Ovis aries: one gene and its partners. The protein of the gene in region 1 interacts with the protein of each later gene in a pairwise test. Links are inferred from orthologs where the notes say so. Each region holds a gene or a part of one and is shown in the gene's direction. Other genes may lie near its edges.

What was found.
Region 2: the proteins of KAT7 (region 1) and NINL interact in a two-hybrid assay, tested with the Homo sapiens proteins (2 studies listed by BioGRID and IntAct). The two-hybrid records come from large-scale screens. The link is inferred for Ovis aries from reciprocal best matches to the Homo sapiens genes KAT7 and NINL.
Region 3: the proteins of KAT7 (region 1) and VIM interact in binary tests that used the Homo sapiens proteins (3 or more experiments, as listed by UniProt). The link is inferred for Ovis aries from reciprocal best matches to the Homo sapiens genes KAT7 and VIM.
Region 4: the proteins of KAT7 (region 1) and DVL3 interact in a two-hybrid assay, tested with the Homo sapiens proteins (2 studies listed by BioGRID and IntAct). The two-hybrid records come from large-scale screens. The link is inferred for Ovis aries from reciprocal best matches to the Homo sapiens genes KAT7 and DVL3.

What each region holds. Positions count from the first base shown.
Region 1 is NC_056064.1:36,555,780-36,560,325, reverse strand, and holds part of KAT7 (histone acetyltransferase KAT7), read left to right. Parts: intron 1-516; coding exon 517-627; intron 628-2,460; coding exon 2,461-2,652; intron 2,653-4,546. UniProt on the Homo sapiens protein: Catalytic subunit of histone acetyltransferase HBO1 complexes, which specifically mediate acetylation of histone H3 at 'Lys-14' (H3K14ac), thereby regulating various processes, such as gene transcription, protein ubiquitination, immune regulation, stem cell pluripotent and self-renewal maintenance and embryonic development.
Region 2 is NC_056066.1:10,564,964-10,569,509, forward strand, and holds part of NINL (ninein-like protein), read left to right. Parts: coding exon 1-154; intron 155-189; exon of another isoform or gene 190-507; coding exon of another isoform or gene 508-567; intron 568-763; coding exon 764-916; intron 917-1,294; exon of another isoform or gene 1,295-1,538; intron 1,539-1,925; exon of another isoform or gene 1,926-2,308; intron 2,309-2,367; coding exon 2,368-2,535; intron 2,536-4,043; coding exon 4,044-4,180; intron 4,181-4,546. UniProt on the Homo sapiens protein: Involved in the microtubule organization in interphase cells. Overexpression induces the fragmentation of the Golgi, and causes lysosomes to disperse toward the cell periphery; it also interferes with mitotic spindle assembly.
Region 3 is NC_056066.1:31,054,449-31,059,639, forward strand, and holds the start of VIM (vimentin), read left to right. Parts: upstream 1-1,677; 5' UTR 1,678-1,824; coding exon 1,825-2,387; intron 2,388-3,027; coding exon 3,028-3,088; intron 3,089-5,191. UniProt on the Homo sapiens protein: Vimentins are class-III intermediate filaments found in various non-epithelial cells, especially mesenchymal cells. Vimentin is attached to the nucleus, endoplasmic reticulum, and mitochondria, either laterally or terminally.
Region 4 is NC_056054.1:203,774,207-203,778,752, reverse strand, and holds part of DVL3 (segment polarity protein dishevelled homolog DVL-3), read left to right. Parts: intron 1-490; coding exon 491-612; intron 613-731; coding exon 732-841; intron 842-1,033; coding exon 1,034-1,169; intron 1,170-1,344; coding exon 1,345-1,438; intron 1,439-1,652; coding exon 1,653-1,722; intron 1,723-2,320; coding exon 2,321-2,460; intron 2,461-2,626; coding exon 2,627-2,703; intron 2,704-2,811; coding exon 2,812-2,879; intron 2,880-3,033; coding exon 3,034-3,183; intron 3,184-3,779; coding exon 3,780-3,911; intron 3,912-4,096; coding exon 4,097-4,264; intron 4,265-4,546. UniProt on the Homo sapiens protein: Involved in the signal transduction pathway mediated by multiple Wnt genes.

The sequences.
Region 1 (4,546 bases):
ACATTTCCTTTCCAGGTTCACTAGAGTGGATAGTAGGTATCTTCTGGAATTAACCTGTCTGATAAATAGTTTGTTTTGTACTTGATCCCTAGTGCCTAGTATAATGCCTGGCAAATATTAATAGCAGGTACTAAATAAATAAGTATGGTTATTCTTGGCCTTCTGGTTGGCATCCGTTGAAAGGCAATAGGTTAAGTAAGGCAATGGCACTCCACTCCAGCACTCTTGCCTGGAGAATCCCATGGACGGAGGAGCCTGGTGGGCCACAGTCCATGGGGTCGCTAGGAGTCAGACACGACTGAGTGACTTCACTTTCACTTTTCACTTTCATGCATTGGAGAAGGAAATGGCAACCCACTCCACTGTTCTTGCCTGGAGAATCCTAGGGATGGGGGAGCCTGGTGGGCTGCCGTCTATGGAGTCGCACAGAGTCAGACATGACTGAAGTGACTTAGCAGTAGCAGCAGCAGCAAGTTCTTAGAAGCAGAAAGTATCATGCTCCGGTTATTTTCCTAGGAACACAGGCAGACCTATGGGAACACTCGGGAACCTCTCCTGGAAAACCTGACGAGCGAGTATGACTTGGATCTTTTCCGAAGAGCACAAGCCCGTGCTTCAGAGGATCTGGTGAGTATTGAAACTTCCAAGATGAGGACTACTTGTGAGGGTCACTTGGAACTGCCAAGGAAAATTAGCAGTCAGTTTGCTAGGGATTAAACATACCTTGCTGCTTGACCCTTTTTCCCTTCCCCCGGACATCCTTATTTGAGACTTCCTTCCCATTGATATTTAAAATTAATTACCCCTCCTCCCTTCCTTTGTCCCTTAAAGTTTTCCCTCTCCACCTCAACTCCTGGAAGGACCTGTTTGGTAGAGGTAGTTATCTGGATAGAACAGTGGGTGCCCCTTTGTGTCAGTTGGATAATTTGTAATTCTGAGAACCCCTAGACTGGAAGGTACCCCTCTGTTGTCCTCTTAACCTAAATAGGAACTCCCCTTTGTGGGATTGCTTCAGCCTTTCATTGTAGCTATAAAAGAATGGGAGAGGAATAATGATCAAGGTTGTTGTCAGATAGTTTAGCTAATTTAGAATCTGACAACTATGTTGTCAGATAGTTTAGAATTCTGATTGAATGAATTAAATATGTCCAAATGGCAGTCCACTCCAGCACTCTTGCCTGGAAAATCTCATGGACGGAGGAGCCTGATAGGCTACAGTCCATGGGGTCGCAAAGAGTCGGACACGACTGAGCGACTTCACTTCAAAGAAACTTAAAGTTTGTAAAGTGAATTTCATCTTCCTTTTTTTTAAAAAAATTTATAATCAAATACTTTATTTAAGAATTCTTGATGATATAGTGGTCCATGGGCTGGTTGGAAAAGAATTTCCAGACATGAGGCAGGATGAGAGGAGAACAGAGTTTCTTAGAGTGGGAGATGTTATTAGAACAGCAGACTGGCTCAAGGGAGAGCTGACCCCTTTCTTGGGCTAGTTGCCAATTTTTATAGCCTCAAGGCAGAGAAAATTCCAGCTGGAAGGGTAACATTAAGTGACTGGTTAGAAGTTTCAGGGTGGGGTATTTTACCTAATGGAGGGTAAAGGACCTGGCTGATTTAGATCTAGAAGCTCATGGCAACAGTTGTTACTGACCTTGGTTAATTACAGAAATTTTTGTCCTGTGACCTTGGTATAAGGCTCCATAGAGGAGACTTGTTGAAATTTTGGGAGAGGCAGGGTTTGATTGCTGCCCTTATTTAGGCTGGGCTACCACTGCCAGTTTTCTCTATCTTACCCTGGTACTGAACATTTCCTAGGCCAGCTTTTCAGAGCTCTGCCTGATTATTCTTCAGAATTATTTCTGTGACTAACTCATAGCCACTGAGTGGGGACAGGTATTCAAAAATATCTTCTACTTTCTAGCTTTAAATTCCAGAATTAAAGCATCATCCGTGTTTCAAAAGTGTTTTTTAAAGGACCCAAGTTGAGAGCATGGCCAGCATGGGTGCATGTCATGCAGATCCATACAGCTTTCTTTATAAAAGCTTTTGCACACGTATGAAGTGCATTCTCGAGAAGCTTTTGTTTAGGTTTAGAATGTTTGTTAAGGTGTAGGGAGTTTGTGATAGATGGTCTTTTAAAATTCTGTTTATTTCAGACTGATAAAAAGTAAAATTTTACGAAGGGCTTGTTCTGATGTTCAAGAGATTAGGCCCAAGTGGGTAGGTAGCAGAGAAAAGCCACTCTCAAGACCTGTGCTCTGGGCAGTGTAGACAGTACATTTTCTCTAGCCTTCCTGGTGACCCATGCCCCCATAGTCCTCTTCAGTGTAAGTTACTCATGAGCTAGAAGCCAGAAACTATTTTTTTCATAGCCGGTTGTGGTGGCATGCACGCAGCTTACAACAATAGAAATGATTAATTCTTATCCTCCTTTAACTTGATTTCTTCTCTGCAACACAGGAGAAGTTAAGGCTGCAAGGCCAAATCACAGAGGGGAGCAACATGATTAAAACAATTGCTTTTGGTCGCTATGAGCTTGATACTTGGTACCATTCTCCCTATCCTGAAGAATATGCACGACTGGGACGTCTTTACATGTGTGAATTCTGTTTAAAATACATGAAGAGCCAAACAATACTCCGCCGACACATGGTAAGTTGTCTGAAGGTCCATGACCATGGTGATGATAAGCTCTAGGGTGTCTTGATTGTTGTTTTCCAGTTGCTCAGTCATGTCCAATGCTTTGCCACCCCATGGACAGTAGCACTTCAGGTTTGCCTCAAAGCTTCCCTTTTGCTCAAGCTCAAGTCCATTGAGTTGGTGGTGCCATCCAACCATCGCATGCTCTGTTGTCCGCTTCTCCTCCTGTCTTCAATCTTTCCCAGCATCAGAGTCTTTTCCAGTGAGTTGGCTCTTCACATCAGGTGGCCAAAGTATTGGAGCCTCCGCTTCAGCATCAGTCCTTCCAGTGAATATTCGGGACTGATTTCTTGTAGGATTGATTGATCTCCTTGCTGTCCAAGGGATTCTCAAGAGTCTTCTCCAGCACCACAGTTCAAGAGCTCAAATTCTTCGGCGCTTAGCCTTTTTTATTGTCCAGCTCTCACATCTGTACATGACTACTGGAAAAGCCATAGCTTTGACTAGACAGAACCAGTCTGTTGTTCCGTGTCTGGTCTAACTGTTGTTTCTTGATCTGCATACAGATTTCTCAGAAGGCGTAAGGTAAGGTGGTCTGGTATTCTCATCTCTTTAAGAATTTTCCAGTTTGTTGTGATCTACACAGTCAAAGGCTTTAGTGTAGTCAATGATGCAGAAGTAGATGTTTTTCTGGAATTCTCTTGCTTTTTCTATGATTCGATGGATGTTGGCAGTTTGATCTCTGCTTCCTCAGCCTTTTCTAAATCCAGTTTGTATAAATCTGGAAGTTCTCAATTCACATACTGTTGAAGCCTAACTTGAAGGATTTTGAGCATTACTTTACTAGTATGTGAAATGAGTGCAATTGTGCGATAGTTTGCACATTCTCTGGCCTTGCCTTTCTTTGGGATTGGAATGAAAACTGACATTTTCCAGTCCTGTGGCTAGTGCTGAGTTTTCCAAATTTGCAGACATATTGAGTGCAGCACTTTAACAGCATCATCATTTAGGATTTGAAATAGCTCAGCTGGAGTTCTGTTACCTCCACTACTTCCTGACTCCAGGATGTCTGGCTCCAGGTGAGTGATCACACCATTGTTGCTATCTGGGTCATTAAGATCTTTTTAGTATAGTTCTGTTTACTCTTGCCATCTCTTCTTGATATCTTCTTCTGTTAGGTCCATACTGTTTCTGTCCTTTTTTTATGCCCATCTTTGCATGAAATACTCCCTTGGTATCTCTAATTTTAAAGAGATCTCTAAGCTGTCCCATTCTGTTGTTTTCCTTTATTTCTTGGCAGTGATTACTTGAGGAAGGCTTTCTTATCTCTCCTTGCTATTTTCTGGAACTCTGCATTCAGATGGATGTATCTTTCCTTTTCTCCTTTGCCTTTCTCTTCTCTTCTTTTCTCAGGTATTTGTAAGCCCTTCTCAGACAACCATTTTGCCTTTTTGCATTTCTTTTTCTTGGGGATGGTTTTGATCACTGCGTCCTGTACAGTGTCACGAACCTCCGTCCATAGTTCTTGAGGCACTCTATCAGATCTAATCCCTTGAATCTGTTTGTCACTTCCACTATATAATTATAAGGGATTTGATTTTGGTCATACCTGAATGGTCTAGCAGTTTTCCCTACTTTCTTTAATTTAATACTGAATTTTGCAATAAGGAGTTCATGATCTGAGCCACAGTCAGCTCCCGGTCTTGTTTTTGCTAACTATATAGAGCTTCTCCATCTTTGGCTGCAAAGAATATAATCAGTTTGATTTTGGTGTTGACCATCTGGTGATATCCATGTGTAGAGTCATCTCTTGTGTTGTTGGAAGAGAGTGTTTGCTATGACCAGTGCATTCTCTCAGCAAAACTCTATAAGCCTTTACCCTGCTTCATTTTGTACTCCCAAGGCC
Region 2 (4,546 bases), on another chromosome or scaffold:
CCCCCGCAAGCCCCACAGCCACTCCTTCGACACCCCCGAGAGCCGGGTCTGGGGCCTCTGGGAAGAGCTGGGTGTGGGCAGCAGCGGCTACCTCACAGAGGAGGAGCTGGCCCTGGTCTGCCAGAGCATCGGGCTCCAGGGCCTGGCGAAGGAGGTGAGAGGGGATGGGATGGACCGCCCCAAAGGGCTGGGTCTTTGTGGTTGGTGCCGGGCCTGGAAGACCCCTTCACCCTCAGACACACACTCAGTCGTCACTGTCTGGCCTGAAATCCTGTGCTGACTCCCAGGGCTTGTGCTGAGGGTCCGTCTCGGGCCACCTCCACGCAGGATGCTTCTCTGCCTGGAGCTCTCTCCCCTCTCTGGTCTCCCTAGGCCTACCGCCCAGCCCAAAGGTGGTGCCCATAGCATCTGTGTTCAGCCCTTGCCTCCTTCAGGACCCAGAGAGGAGGGGGCAGTGTGATGGGATGGGCCCCACCTTGCTGACCCAGAACCGCTGGGATTCCGTACATGCATGTCCCACACATACATGTCCCACCGTCCAGCAGACTCCCTCACAGCAGACTCGGGGTGGGTGTTTGGGAGATGCGGGATGCTCAGCTGGGTGGAAACTGACTAGGCATATGGATTTCACAAGGCCCAGCCAGGAAGCCAGTGCTTGGATAGCAAGCCGCCTGCTTGGTAGGGTGGGGGCTGGGCCTGGGCGGGGCATTCAAGGCTGCTTGGGAGCAGCCTCTGAGCCGATGCCTAGGGCGCTTTTCTCTAGGAGCTTGAAGACCTGTTCAGCAAGCTGGACCAAGATGGGGATGGCAGAGTGAGTCTGGAGGAGCTCCAGCTTGGCCTGTTCAATCACGGGTCCCCTCGACCGCTGGAACTGGCCCCGCCTGTCAAACCCAGCGGGTCCTGGTCTCATTACCAGGTAAGGTGGGACAATTAACTCTTGAAGCCCAGGGTGACTGCATCATTCTCCTGAAGGCCTGATCTCTCTGCCTGGTCCCCAGAGTGGGTGCCCAGGAGGTGGTTGGAGTGACCTGACCTGACATCGCTTCTGCCTGCCTATGCGCCAGGGGTGAGCTGCTCGCCTTCTCTGAGCCTCAGGTTCCTCATCTGTAAAGTGGACGCACCTCATAGGGATTTTATGTGGATTCCCTGGGGTACACTGCGTTCCACCAACAGCACCCGGTTGCTCCTTCCCGGGGGACAGAGTCACTATCAGGGCCATGCCTTCCCCGGGACTAGCCCTCCAGGCTCTCCTGGAGCTGTGTTCTTCCCATTTTCCATCCTGCACGAGGCCAGCTGGGGTCAAGCAGACTTTATTTACACTGTGATGCTGGCTGGGCAGTGCGTTTGGTTCAGGTCTGTCTCAGGGTAGTCAGGGCTCCTTCTCCCACCGCAGGGCATGGTTGTCCTGGGGAGTCTTGCTGCCACCTCTTTGGCAGCGTGGTTGATCCCGTAGTTTTTGGGCAGCGGTGCAGGAACAGTGGCCTTGTTCTCTGCTGGGCTGGGCGTGTCCGAAGATCAGGTTTCTGCCCCTGAAGCCACTGAGATGGGGAAGAAGTTGGGTTAGTGAGGATAGTGCCCGGCCACCTGAGGGCAGGGACTGCATGGTGCCCACAGCCCACGGAGGAGGGCTCCTCCCAGGGGCCTCGGCCCCTCGTTCCCGCCCAGGAAGCACTGACGTGGCGCCAGGGCCATGTCCTGTGCGTGTGGACACCGGTGTGGCCAGGCTGCGGGTGTAGGGCCTCACGCAGCAGACCGAGGTTCTCCTACTCCATCAGGGGAGCCCCTGGGTCTGGTGGTCTGGGGACACCCACCTCAGAGAGGAGGGGGCTGCTGCTCCTCCTTGTTTTGGTCCCAACAGCAAATGCATGTCCCAAGGGCCCTCCCTGGGGCGGAAGCACAGCTTCCTGGCTGCACTTCAGCCTCACCTGTCAGCTTTCCGGCCGAGGGATTTTTCTGCCTTTGTCTCCAGCCCTGAATCCTGAGGACACGTGCCCTCTGCTTGGGCTGCTCTGCCTCTTCTGAAGCCCATCTTGGGTTTCTCTGCATAGACTGGGTTTCCCTTGGCTGGAGTGTGCCTTCCCGGGCTCTTCCTCTGGGAGGACAGGCGGCAAGCCACCTTGTTCAGGGAGAAGTTACCTCGGGGGGCCCTGCAGGTGCTGGGGCATCCCCCTGCATGGCCTCACGCAGACGGCCCTGAGCCCTGGGCTCGGGTCACCTCTGCGGAGCCTGCAGTTCCCGCAGGTCCTCTGGGTACCCTGTTCCCTGCAACAGGAATCAGGGAAGGCCACGCCCGCCAAGCACAAGTGGTGATGTGGGGAGGTGCGTGGGGAGGCCCACGGTCCTCACAGCGCTGGTCCCCGTGTGCAGGTCCCGGAGGAGAGTGTTGGCCAGACCACCACGTCGTCCCTCGTGTCCGTGTGCTCGGGCCCCCGCCTCTTCTGCAGTGTGGATGACGGCAGTGGCTTCGCCTTCCCGGAGCAGATCATCTCCTTGTGGGCCCAGGAGGGCGTTCACAATGGCAGGGAGGTCTTGCAGGTGTGGGCCGGTCACGTGGCTGCCCCAGCAGAGGTGTCTGGGCGGGGGGTTGCAGGGAGCTGCTGCCCATGAGGGAGGCTGGACAGAGAACCTCGCAGACATAGGCCCCATGGAGGGAAGGCCCGTCATCCTCACTTTTTGCTTTACTTTTTGATATCGATATGTAGGACCTCCTAACTTAGAAACATAATAAGTAAACAGCAGAGAAAGCCCACAGCCTGAAACAAATCCTCTAGAGGGTAGGTTTCAGTATCTCAGATTTACCCCGCAGTGCATGTTGGCCTCCGAGCGGATCCTGGGTCCTGGAGGACTAGAGGGCCTCTTAGTGACTGCAGCACGTGGGTGTGGACACCAGGAGGCGCTGCCCACACGTGTCGCGCAGTTTTTCTAATCTGGAAGCTGCTGCCCAGACTTCTTCATCCTCTGCTCCCACCGTGATTTCATTGCTGAGAAGCGTGCTCTCAGCAAGTCTTGGCGGCAGCTTCCCGGTCGCTCCGCACGCTTTAGCATCCTGTCATTTTTCTCCCAGAAGTCCTCAGGGCCGTGGAGAAGCGTGGAGATTCAAGTCCCCTCTCCCACTTTACAGCAAGGGCTTCCGCGTGGGCCCTGCCATGTGCCTGCCCCACCCGTGTGTCTGCAACTTGTAGTCACAAGCACCAGTCACTGAGAGAGCAGCCACAGCACCAGTGTTATCACTAGGCTGCCACAGGTGCACGGGCGTTCCCAGCCTGCTCTTTTTCTTACTTTTTCTTACTTAAAATACAGAAAGCACAGTTTTTCTGTTCTTTTAACTCTACCTTCCCCAATCCCGAGGGGGAATGGCTCTGACTCTCAGGAATGCTTGGCTGTGGCTCATCGCTCTATCAATCGTTTCCACCGACAGAACCCACATTGTTCCTATGTCTGTCCGTGCTGTTTAGAGATATATTAAGGATTCTTTGTGTCTGAAATGGCAAGAACTCAACTCACACTTGGCAAGAGGAGGACATCAGGGATCTTTGTGACCAGCTGGGGAAGAAGGAGGAAGTTTAGGCTTGGGGGTCCCAGCTCTGGTGGTTGTCAGGACTCTCCTGGCCTCTGGGTCTTGCACCCTTGCACAGCTCCCCAGGACCCCGTGGTCTATACAACACTTGCTCTGACAGAGGAAAAGCCCTTCTCCAGCCTCCCTATCAATCCCCAAAGTCCTCTGCTTGCATATGCCCCCTTCTATGTCTGTCCCTTTGTCCAAGAAGGGGGACTCTCCAGCCTGGGTCATGCCCGCCTCCGAGGCAGGGTCAGTGAGGAGAGGAGCTGTATGTTGACAGTGGGAGGGCGACATCAGTGTTGACAGGGACCTGGGGAGAGGTACCCCAGAGGGATGGGAGCAAGGGAGAGGCTCCATTCAAGAGGTGGAGACTTTGCAGACAGAAAAGGATGGTACTGGGACAGTGAGGTCTGGGCCTGTGGGACCCAGCAAATATCTGAAGACCCACTCATCCTGCCTGCCCAACGGTCCTTTCTGTTTTCAGAGCCTTGACTTCAGTGTGGACGAGAAGGTGAACCTTTTGGAGCTGAGCTGGGCCCTGGAGAATGAGCTCATGATGGTGGGCGGGGCCGCCCAGCAGGCAGCCTTGGCCTGCTACCGCCAGGAGCTGAGCTTCTGCCAGTAAGAGCCGCACTGGGGGAGGCGTGGGGTGCCACTGGCCAGGCTGGCCTCCTCGCCCAGGACACGGGGGGCCTGCGGGAGGAGAAAGGCTGCTTCCAGCATGGCCACAAAGCACGGCATGGAGATTGGGCCCAGAATGCGATCCTTTTTAATTGGGTTTGGCTCCAGTTGAGCTGGATATTCAGGCCATCCGTCTACTGAGCCCGTTGGCACAGAGATTGTTAGTGTATTTTTATTGATGCTCTGAAGCTACAGAAAAGGTTGGCAGAAATTGCAGTCTCCATCCCCACGACTTTGCATCTCATTAGATACCGACAGATGAGACCTCTGACGTCAGGCAACTCTGCAGAGGGGCCCAAAGGAAGA
Region 3 (5,191 bases), on another chromosome or scaffold:
TTTAAATTGCTGTAGGTATCACTAAAAGACTGTTTTGGATTTTCTTTGTCTCTCTTTGGGGGTAACCATTCTGTTCTTCCTGTTACTAACATTACAACAAAAACCTAGTTGAGGGATTTATCTAAAAAGGTTTTGGTGTTAAGAGTCTGAACACTCCCTTGGCACCCTACACTAAAACATTTTGCCCCGTATTCAATTTTGTTTCTCTCACTTTAAGTCCAACTGCAGGAATTCTGGAAAATCGACCAACGGACCAGTGACTTTTCCCCGACAAGACACCAGAATCCTGCAGAATGCATCAGTCCCTGCAAACATTCTATCATCTGAGGCTAACTAGCTGCCTTTCTAACTAATCATTTAATCAACTAACTGCCTTTCATTCACCAAATTAAACATTTAAAGTATCACCTAATTCATTCTTATAATTAGCGCAGGTTTATACCTTGAATGACTTCCGCAACAGCAGAAAAACCAGAGATCAATTTGATTGTGCAGCTGCGGACGCAGAGCTTCCTCCTTCACCCCAAACTTCCAGATCCTGTTAAAAGTCGGGTGTGGTTTTATGGGGGGAGGGGGAGGCCGAGAGGGGACCAGGGAGAAGAGTGAGGGGGAACTTGGCAAGAACCTCCCCGGAGTGCATTTGTGATGCCCCAGACCCGCGTTCGGCGCTTATAGAATGTGTGCAGAAGTTTCTTACTACAGAGAAGCCTGCATATCGGAGCAAAATCTGGCTTTGTCGGGTTCTTAAGAACTCAGGCGCGCGCTAGTCTTCACGCAGGCGAACTGCCCACGAGAAAGCTGAGGCCCAGCTCGAAGTTGTGTTAAACTTCGACAAACTGTGCGCGCAGGCCCGGGGAGGCTGGAGTCAATCTCGTCTAACGGTTTCCCTGTACCGCTAGGAGCCTTCGGCGGGACAGCCGGGTGCAGTGACTCAGTGCCAGTGACTCAGCGACCCCACCCTTCTCCCCCAGGCTTTCCTCGGCCGCCGCCTCGAAGCGCGCACCGTCCAAAGGGGACCCAGTCCGTTAGGTCCCTGAACAGGAATTCCCAAGACAAGAGGACGAAGAGAGACGGGGTCCGCATCAGATCCTCTTTCGAAGCGGGCTGTGCACACACTCCTGCGCGGGGCCCAAGCCCTGCGTCCAGAGCTGTGCGCGCCCCCACCTCGCGCTCTAATCTCAGGCCCTCTTTGTTTCTTTCTCCACGCCTCCAGTTCTGCGGGATCCTGCACTCCCCCTCCTCCTGCTTCTTGGCCCGCGGGGCTCCGCATCCTCTCTCTCCCAGTAAAGCGCAACCCAGCTGCGGCGCGCCCCTCCCACCCGCGCGCCTCCTCCTACAGCTCTTTGGCGCGGAGCCCGGGACCCCTCTGGTCCAGTCCTGGCGGGTTCCCCCTGCACCACTGCGCGACCCCTCCTTTATCAGCACCCAGAGGTGAGCAGAGCTCGGGCCACCATCAGGAAAGCCCCTGAAAGTCCCAGCCCAGCTAAGAAGTAACGGGGCTGTGCTCAGTCCCCGTTGGGGAAGATGGGGGAGGAGGACGGCTCCGGGGCGCCCCCGCCCCAACCCCCCGCCCAGCCTTCCCCATTGGCTGGCGCACTCCGTCGCCGGGATGGCAGTGGGAGGGAACCCTCTTACCTAACGCGGTTATAAAAACTGCGCCCCGCGCGGGGTCCGGTCCTCTGCCACTCTCGCTCCGGGCTCCCCGCGCCAGAGACGCAGCACCGCTCCCTCTGCCCACACCCACCGCGCCCTCGCGCTCGCCTCTTCTCCCGGAGCCAGTCCGTGCTACCGCAGTCGCCCAGTCCACCGCCACCCTCTGCAGCCATGTCCACCAGGTCCGTGTCCTCGTCCTCCTACCGCAGGATGTTCGGCGGCCCAGGCACCGCGAGCCGGCCGAGCTCCACCCGGAGCTACGTGACCACGTCCACCCGCACCTACAGCCTGGGCAGTGCGCTGCGCCCCTCCACCAGCCGCACCCTCTACACCTCGTCCCCGGGTGGCGTGTACGCCACGCGCTCCTCGGCTGTGCGCCTGCGGAGCGGCGTGCCCGGCGTGCGGCTGCTGCAGGACTCGGTGGACTTCTCGTTGGCCGACGCCATCAACACCGAGTTCAAGAACACCCGCACCAACGAGAAGGTGGAGCTGCAGGAGCTCAATGACCGCTTCGCCAACTACATCGACAAGGTGCGCTTCCTGGAGCAGCAGAACAAGATCCTGCTGGCTGAGCTCGAGCAGCTCAAGGGACAGGGCAAGTCGCGCCTGGGGGACCTCTACGAGGAGGAGATGCGAGAGCTGCGCCGGCAGGTGGACCAGCTCACCAACGACAAGGCCCGCGTCGAGGTGGAGCGCGACAACCTGGCCGAAGACATCATGAGGCTCCGGGAGAAGTAAGGCGGCGCCCACGCGGGGCTGAGGGAGGGATGAAGTGGATACCGGAGCTGCCACGCCCTTGGGGATGTGGCCCGGGCGGCGGCTGCCGGGGGTGGGGGTGGGGGACAGCGGGGGAGCAGGGTTGTGGCTTAAGCGGTGCGGGCCCCGCCCTGAACCAGAATCTTCCAAGTTAGCATTTTCCCTCTACCCCGACTCATTGCCCAAGAACGCACGTTTCAAGTTGCAGACTTTTAAAAACTACCACTGTGTACTCTGCTGCTGCTGCTGCTGCTAAGGCCCTAGAAAAGGATGAACGCGATTTCCCCAAACTTTGAGAAAGTTTCCTGTCCCCCTCTGGCTGGCTGCCAGCCAACGGGCCGTGGAGAGAGCGAGACAAAGGGATTGTAGAGTCTCCGCGGTGAGGTGGTGGCGGGCGTCTCGCAGGTCGGGGTGGCGACAGTGATTGCTTTTCCACGCAGAGGCCAAGGTCCCGCTTAAACTTGCCTAGGACAGCAGGTCTAAGCCGCGGTCGCTAATTGAGCGCGGAGGTGGCGCAGCAACCCTTGGGTCTCTGCGCCACGACTGGGTGTTTGGGTGTGGTCGCCCCGCCCCTGGCGGTTTCCCGGTTCCCCTGTGGTTAATCTGAAACTGTTTCAGGTTGCAGGAGGAGATGCTTCAGAGAGAGGAAGCCGAGAGCACTCTGCAGTCTTTCAGACAGGTTGGTAGATTCCGTTCCTACTCGAAGCCACGGGACGCCACCCTCCCGCCCAACCCACGAGCAATTCTAAAAGTTTCTTAACCCAAGTCTGAATCATACAAAACTTCACGTCTGCGCGCCAAGCCCCCTAGTGGCAGAGAGACCGCAGTTCTGGATAAAAGCCCTTGAATGATTAAACCGTTCCGTAGGACATGGTCTTTAACATTTTTTAATTTGTTTCAAGATTCTTTTCCCAAGAAATCATTTTTTTTTCCGTTTCGTGTTTGCAACACGTTGATATTTTGATTTTGAAGAGTTACAGTTTGATTTAGGTTGCGGTTTTGCCAAAGTTGACTACCTTTTACAAGGCCACAAAAAGCACAATTCTGCCCTGTAGTTTTAGATGTGAAATGGATGGGAGGATAAGAAACTTAGTGGAGCCAGAAATTTTATTTTCTTGCCGGCAAGTTCTATTGTGGCCCCAAGGTTAGACAGAAGTATCGCTATGCACAACTAATTTGTGATCTAATAAGGATGAAAAGGAGCCATCTGTCCCCTTGGCTGAAAGGTATTAATGGTTTCTACGGACTTCACTATGGAATGTAGATACAGACATTCTGGCAAGTGTGGTGGCTCTGGTCAGAAAGAATAGGAGTCTTTGTGTTCCTGGAGACGCTTTGCAACAGGCTACATTCTTATTGAATATGTAATGATGCAAGCACTGTTCTAATTGGACACAAGTATTTGCTAACACCCCCGTTATCTAATATCTGGCCCAGACTGGAAGTATGTGATGTGAAAAGTTCTTAAAGCTGCAGTCCTACCTCACATTTGGAAAGGCCTTCCTTTTTTGAATCCTTGTATTCTTTAGCATTTTCTCCATAAAGAATAAAGCTAAAAATGAAGGATAGGATTTTAAGAAAAATGGTTTTCTTGCTCCAAAGATAGATGGCCTTTAAGGATTTTTAACTTAAAGTTGGATCCCAAAGAAGATTAGTTGCCAGCAGTTTTATTCTCCTGAACCCTCACTGGGACTGGCTCTAAAAGCTCCCTCAAGCAAATAGTCTAGAATACTTTTTGAAGCAGAAATGTATTTATCAAGTTAAACACAGAAATGTGTGGTTTATTTCAGTCATTGAGCATTTCTGATCATCATGTCTGTAATGTTTTCTTCCCCGGTAGTAACTTCATATAAAATAATATTAGTATAAATTGTTCCTCCTATTTAGGGATTAGATAAAACCACTCATATTCTCTTCAAAGAAGTATAATAACACATAGAACTTTTGAAAATTGAGAATAGGATATTATCTTTTGCAATGATTAACAACAAGCAAAAATGATTCTTTTTCCCAAGACTGATCATTTTATTATCACCCCTTTCTCATTTACTTTTCCATGAAGGTGATAGAAACAGGTCTACATTTTAAGACTAACCTGGACTCCAAATATAACTGCTTACAAGATATGTGAAGTGAAAATCGCTCAGTCGTGTCTGACTCTTTGCGACCCCATGGACTATACAGTCCATGGAATTCTCCAGGCCAGAATACTGGAGTGGGTAGCTTTCCCATCTCCAGGGGATCTTCCCAACCCAGGGATCGAACCCAGGTCTCCCGCATTGCAGGCAGACTCTTTACCAGCTGAGACACAAGGGGAAGTTGGCTTACAAGATAAGAGGTATAAAAATCCTCAAGACATTCCCTGAGGGGCAATAAAATCTTTCCACCAGTTTACACATGGTGAAAACATAGGAGGAGACCAGAGCAGTAAAAATTTTACATATAGTATGTGCATGTTGATTAGTCATTCTGAAACATGCTAAGGAACTGAACTGACCTAGTACTAAGTGAAAAAGATGTGGACACACCCTTGTGGAATGAGATAGGTGACTTTCAGGAGAAAAATCTACCAGAGAAAGCAAAGCAAATACAGTTCAGGGTTACCCTTCTTTTTCTTTATTTGGCTGAACTACATATTTGCCAGTGTACATCCTGAATTGGAGTAAAGATTTAGGCTTGTAACTTGAATATCAGGTGACTTACTTGGGATCCTGAGAAAAAATTTCAGAAGATTTGAGGAGACAAAAAGAGAGCTTAGGTATTATGTGCTGAAACTTCAGAA
Region 4 (4,546 bases), on another chromosome or scaffold:
CTCGCCTCAACCCTCTCTCCACCTGCATTCCTGCAGTGAGCTGGATGGAGGAAAGGCATTGCTGAGACCGTGGTTTGATTCTTCAGTATCTGAATCTTCCTTGAGTTTTCTAACTGAACTCTCTCACTCCAGATCATGTTATAGCCTTGGTGAAAAGTGAGAGTGGTGGGAAGTGGGGAAAGGGACAGAAGTACACACTGGAGACAAAAAACGTCTCCTCTGTCCTTTGTGGCACTGGTCAGGTTTCCTTCTGTCACGTGCCGACCTCTACCTTGGACCTCTGACCCTTGTTCTCCGCTCCCATTCCATTTCCCCAGCCCATGCCTTTCAGCCTCCTCGTCGTCTCAGCTGACCTTGCACAGTCCCGTCTCTTCTCCCCCCATGGCCCCTGCTTCATTCTCCCCAAGTCTTCATGCCCTGCCAGAAGCCAGCTAGCCCCTTTTCCCTGGGGCCTCTGTGCCCCAGTACCCAAGCATCTTCTCCCCATCAGCTGGTGTCGGCTGAAGGCTCACACCCAGAACCAGCGCCCTTCTGTGCTGACAGCCCGGCAGAACTGCCACCGCCCATGGAGCGCACAGGAGGCATCGGCGACTCCCGGCCCCCATCCTTCCAGTGAGTGTGACCGGAGGGTGGGGAGAGCCCCTAGGGGGAGGGCTGCCTCAGCTCAGCTTGGCTGGGGGAGAGGGCCCCCAGCCTGCGCCCTCCCCCACCAAGTCCTCTCTTCCCTACAGCCCTCACGCTGGTGGGGGCAGCCAGGAGAACTTGGACAACGACACAGAGACAGACTCCTTGGTGTCTGCCCAGCGAGAGCGGCCACGCCGGAGGGATGGCCCAGAGCACAGTGCGTCCTCCCTGAACCCACACCTTCCCCACCCCCAGCATCTCTCCCTGCCCCTTCCACCCAGCTACCCAACTCTCTGCCTTCCTTCCTGAGCTCTGGATAGGCCTGGCCCCAGTACAGCCCCTGGCTCGTCCTTGCCTCCTTCTCTCCTTCATCAAGCACTGTGAGCCCAGCTGCCTCCGTCCCCTGCAGCAACCCGGCTGAATGGAACTGCCAAGGGGGAACGGCGACGAGAGCCAGGGGGTTATGACAGCTCCTCCACCCTGATGAGCAGCGAGTTGGAGACCACCAGCTTCTTTGATTCAGATGAGGATGATTCCACCAGCAGGTGGGGCTTTGGTTTCCTGGGTACTGTGGGACAGGTGACCCATAGGAGCCCTGACCCCTGAGGATGCTGGGCCTCTGGGCAGGATGTGGGCTTTGTGGTGGGGACCCGGGCCCTGCGATGCCTCTTTGGGATAGGGCTGGGCCAGCCTGGTGGGGAACGACTGTGGGCCCCACAGGTTCAGCAGCTCCACAGAGCAGAGCAGCGCCTCACGCCTGATGAGAAGACACAAGCGGCGGCGGCGGAAGCAGAAGGTTTCCCGGATTGAGCGGGTATGGGGCCAAGACGCTGGGGTGGGTGGAGCAGACGGAGCCCCCCTGCCCCCAGCAAGACGAGAGTTTGTCTTCCTTCGATCCCTCCCCTTGGGTCAGGGTATAGCATCCTAGAGGGGAGGTGGTGCTGAGGGCTAGCCTTGAGGAAGAGCTCGGTGGGAGCAGTGAGTTCCTGCCACCCCTGCCTGCTGCTCAGGGCCTCTGTCTATTCCAGTCTTCATCCTTCAGCAGCATCACGGACTCCACCATGTCACTCAACATCATCACCGTCACTCTCAACATGGGTGAGTCTCGTGAAATGACACTTTCCAGCGCCTGCTACGTGCCACACCGGGAGTGCAGAGAGATACACGATATGTTCCCTTCCCTCAAGGAGCTCTTTTTCATAAGCATAAACTGCTACATACACTGATCCATTCAGTATCTCATGATCAGAGCTATGACAGAGATAAGCACTATGGAAGCAGAGAATGGCACCCAGGATGGCTTCCTAAACTGATTCTGATGCTTCCCCACTTTCCGATTTCCATCCCTTACATTCTTGGTCTCTGATTTCTGCCCTAGGTGTTCTTCTTTAGGAGGTAGCAGGATGTAGTGAAAGAGCCCCAACTTTGGAATTTAAATCTGAGTTTGAACCCTAACTCTGCCACTTCATGGCTCAAATTCTCTGCACCTCATTTGTCTTCTCTGTAAAACAGGATTGAGTTCCTACCTCGTAGCCAACAAGGATTAAGTGAAAGTATGTTTGAGTATGCAGAATACAGTGCCTGATTCAAGTTCAATAAATGTTAGTTCTTGTCCCTTTCTACCCTTTTCTAATGAAGGGCTTAGAATCTGGGTAGGAACGTTGTTCCTGTCTCAAGTTCTTATTACTCCCTGTAGAAAAGTATAACTTCTTGGGCATCTCCATTGTGGGCCAAAGCAACGAGCGTGGTGATGGAGGCATCTACATTGGCTCCATCATGAAGGGTGGGGCCGTGGCTGCTGATGGACGCATTGAGCCAGGAGACATGCTGTTACAGGTACCATTGCCCACCCTGGGTGGTGGTATGGATGGAGACGGGGAAATGTCCACACCCTCTGTATCCTGCTTCTTGGTATGGGGAAGACCCCCTAGCCCACCAAACTTAGCTTCCCTACCATCTCCCCAACACAGCTGCGTATTCCACTCCTGGTCCTTTTTCCCAGGTAAACGAGATCAACTTTGAGAACATGAGTAACGATGACGCGGTCCGAGTACTTCGGGAAATTGTACACAAACCAGGGTATGGATGGCATTGGGAAGGAGAGGGCAGGTATTTCTGACTAACAGGGAAGGGGCTTGGTTTGGCCTCCACACATCCTGCCCTCACTAGGGACACCCTTGCTTTCAGGCCCATCACCTTGACTGTAGCCAAGTGCTGGGACCCAAGTCCACGTGGGTGCTTCACACTGCCCAGGAGTAAGTGGATGGGAGACTGGGCCCTAAAGCTGGTGCTTAGCATATGTGAGCCCAGTCTCTCCTTCCTTCTGTGTTACCCTGAACCTCACACCTACCCTACTGGGCCAGGCAGTGGGCAGGGCAGGTAGTCCCTGACTCCTCATCCTCCCCGCAGGTGAGCCCATCCGACCCATTGACCCCGCGGCCTGGGTCTCCCACACTGCAGCCATGACCGGCACCTTCCCTGCCTACGGCATGAGCCCCTCCCTGAGCACCATCACCTCCACCAGCTCCTCCATCACCAGCTCCATCCCTGACACAGAGCGTGAGTGTCCAACCCTGACCCCTGGGTCCAGCACATAGGACCAGCTGGAAGGGACTGCTGAAGGCCCACCTGGAGACTCTTGCTTGAGCATCCGAGGGAGCTGGAGAGGAGAGTCGGTCTGTTCCAGCCACCTCACTCTGCAGTTTCCCTCAGTGGACACTGACCCTCACCAAACCATTTGCTTCTGAACCTGTACTGAGCACCCAGTAAGCCTCAGTTTCCTCTTGTAAAATGGGACTGATGATATGCACTTTACCAGGCTTCTAGGGTTTAATGAGAGGATACAAGTAAAACATCAAGCACAGTGTGTGGCATAAAGTAAGCGCTCAGTAAATGACTGCCTTTCTATTATCACAGCATACATTGTACACTGGGCTAAGCACCTTCATTTATATTATTTAATTCTCTCTTCAAATATCCTTGTAAAATAGATATTAAAGTCCCTATTTTTACAGAAGGGGAAACTGAGTGTCCCAAATGTTGGTAATTTGCCTGACATTGGTCCATGTTATTAGGCAGTAGAGCTGGAATGCAAACTCCTGTGTACTTGACTCCATGGCCCCTTTCTGCCTCACCATTTTACCTCCCACCCCCAGGCCTAGACGACTTCCACCTGTCCATCCACAGTGACATGGCTGCCATAGTAAAAGCCATGGCCTCCCCTGAATCCGGGCTAGAGGTCCGTGACCGAATGTGGCTCAAGATTACCATCCCCAACGCTTTCATCGGTGAGAGGGCCCCATGGTGGGATGAAGGATGGGGTGGAAAGTGGTGGGGCAGGGCAGGCCAGGACCCAAGAACTCCCTTGGGCCACCCCTTGGAGTTGGAATCAGCACCAGCCTCATGGCTCCTGTGAGGTCAGAAGAGCCCAGGTCTGGTGGGCCTCCCAATCAAGTGGCAGCCTTGCCCTCAGGCTCGGATGTGGTGGACTGGCTGTACCACAACGTGGAAGGCTTCACTGACCGGCGAGAGGCCCGCAAGTATGCCAGCAACCTGCTGAAAGCCGGCTTCATCCGCCACACTGTCAACAAGATCACCTTCTCCGAGCAGTGTTACTACATCTTCGGCGACCTCTGTGGCAGTACGTGCCTCCCCAGCCTCCTTGCCCTGTCTCCTGGTTGAAAGTGGGAGTGGCCTGGGTGGATGTGGCAGCAGACTCTAGGGAACCCAGATTAGGGGGCAGTAGAGCTGGGGGAGCCTCAAGACCTGACAGTTCTGTGTGGTCGAGGCAGAGCCCACACCAGTTCTTAGGCAGAGCCCACACCAGTTCCTCTTCACTTCCCTGCCCAGCCCCCTTGGGGCTGGTGTTTTCTGAGTGCCTGCTCTGTGCCTGGCACCATGCTGGTTGTTTCTAAAGCATCAT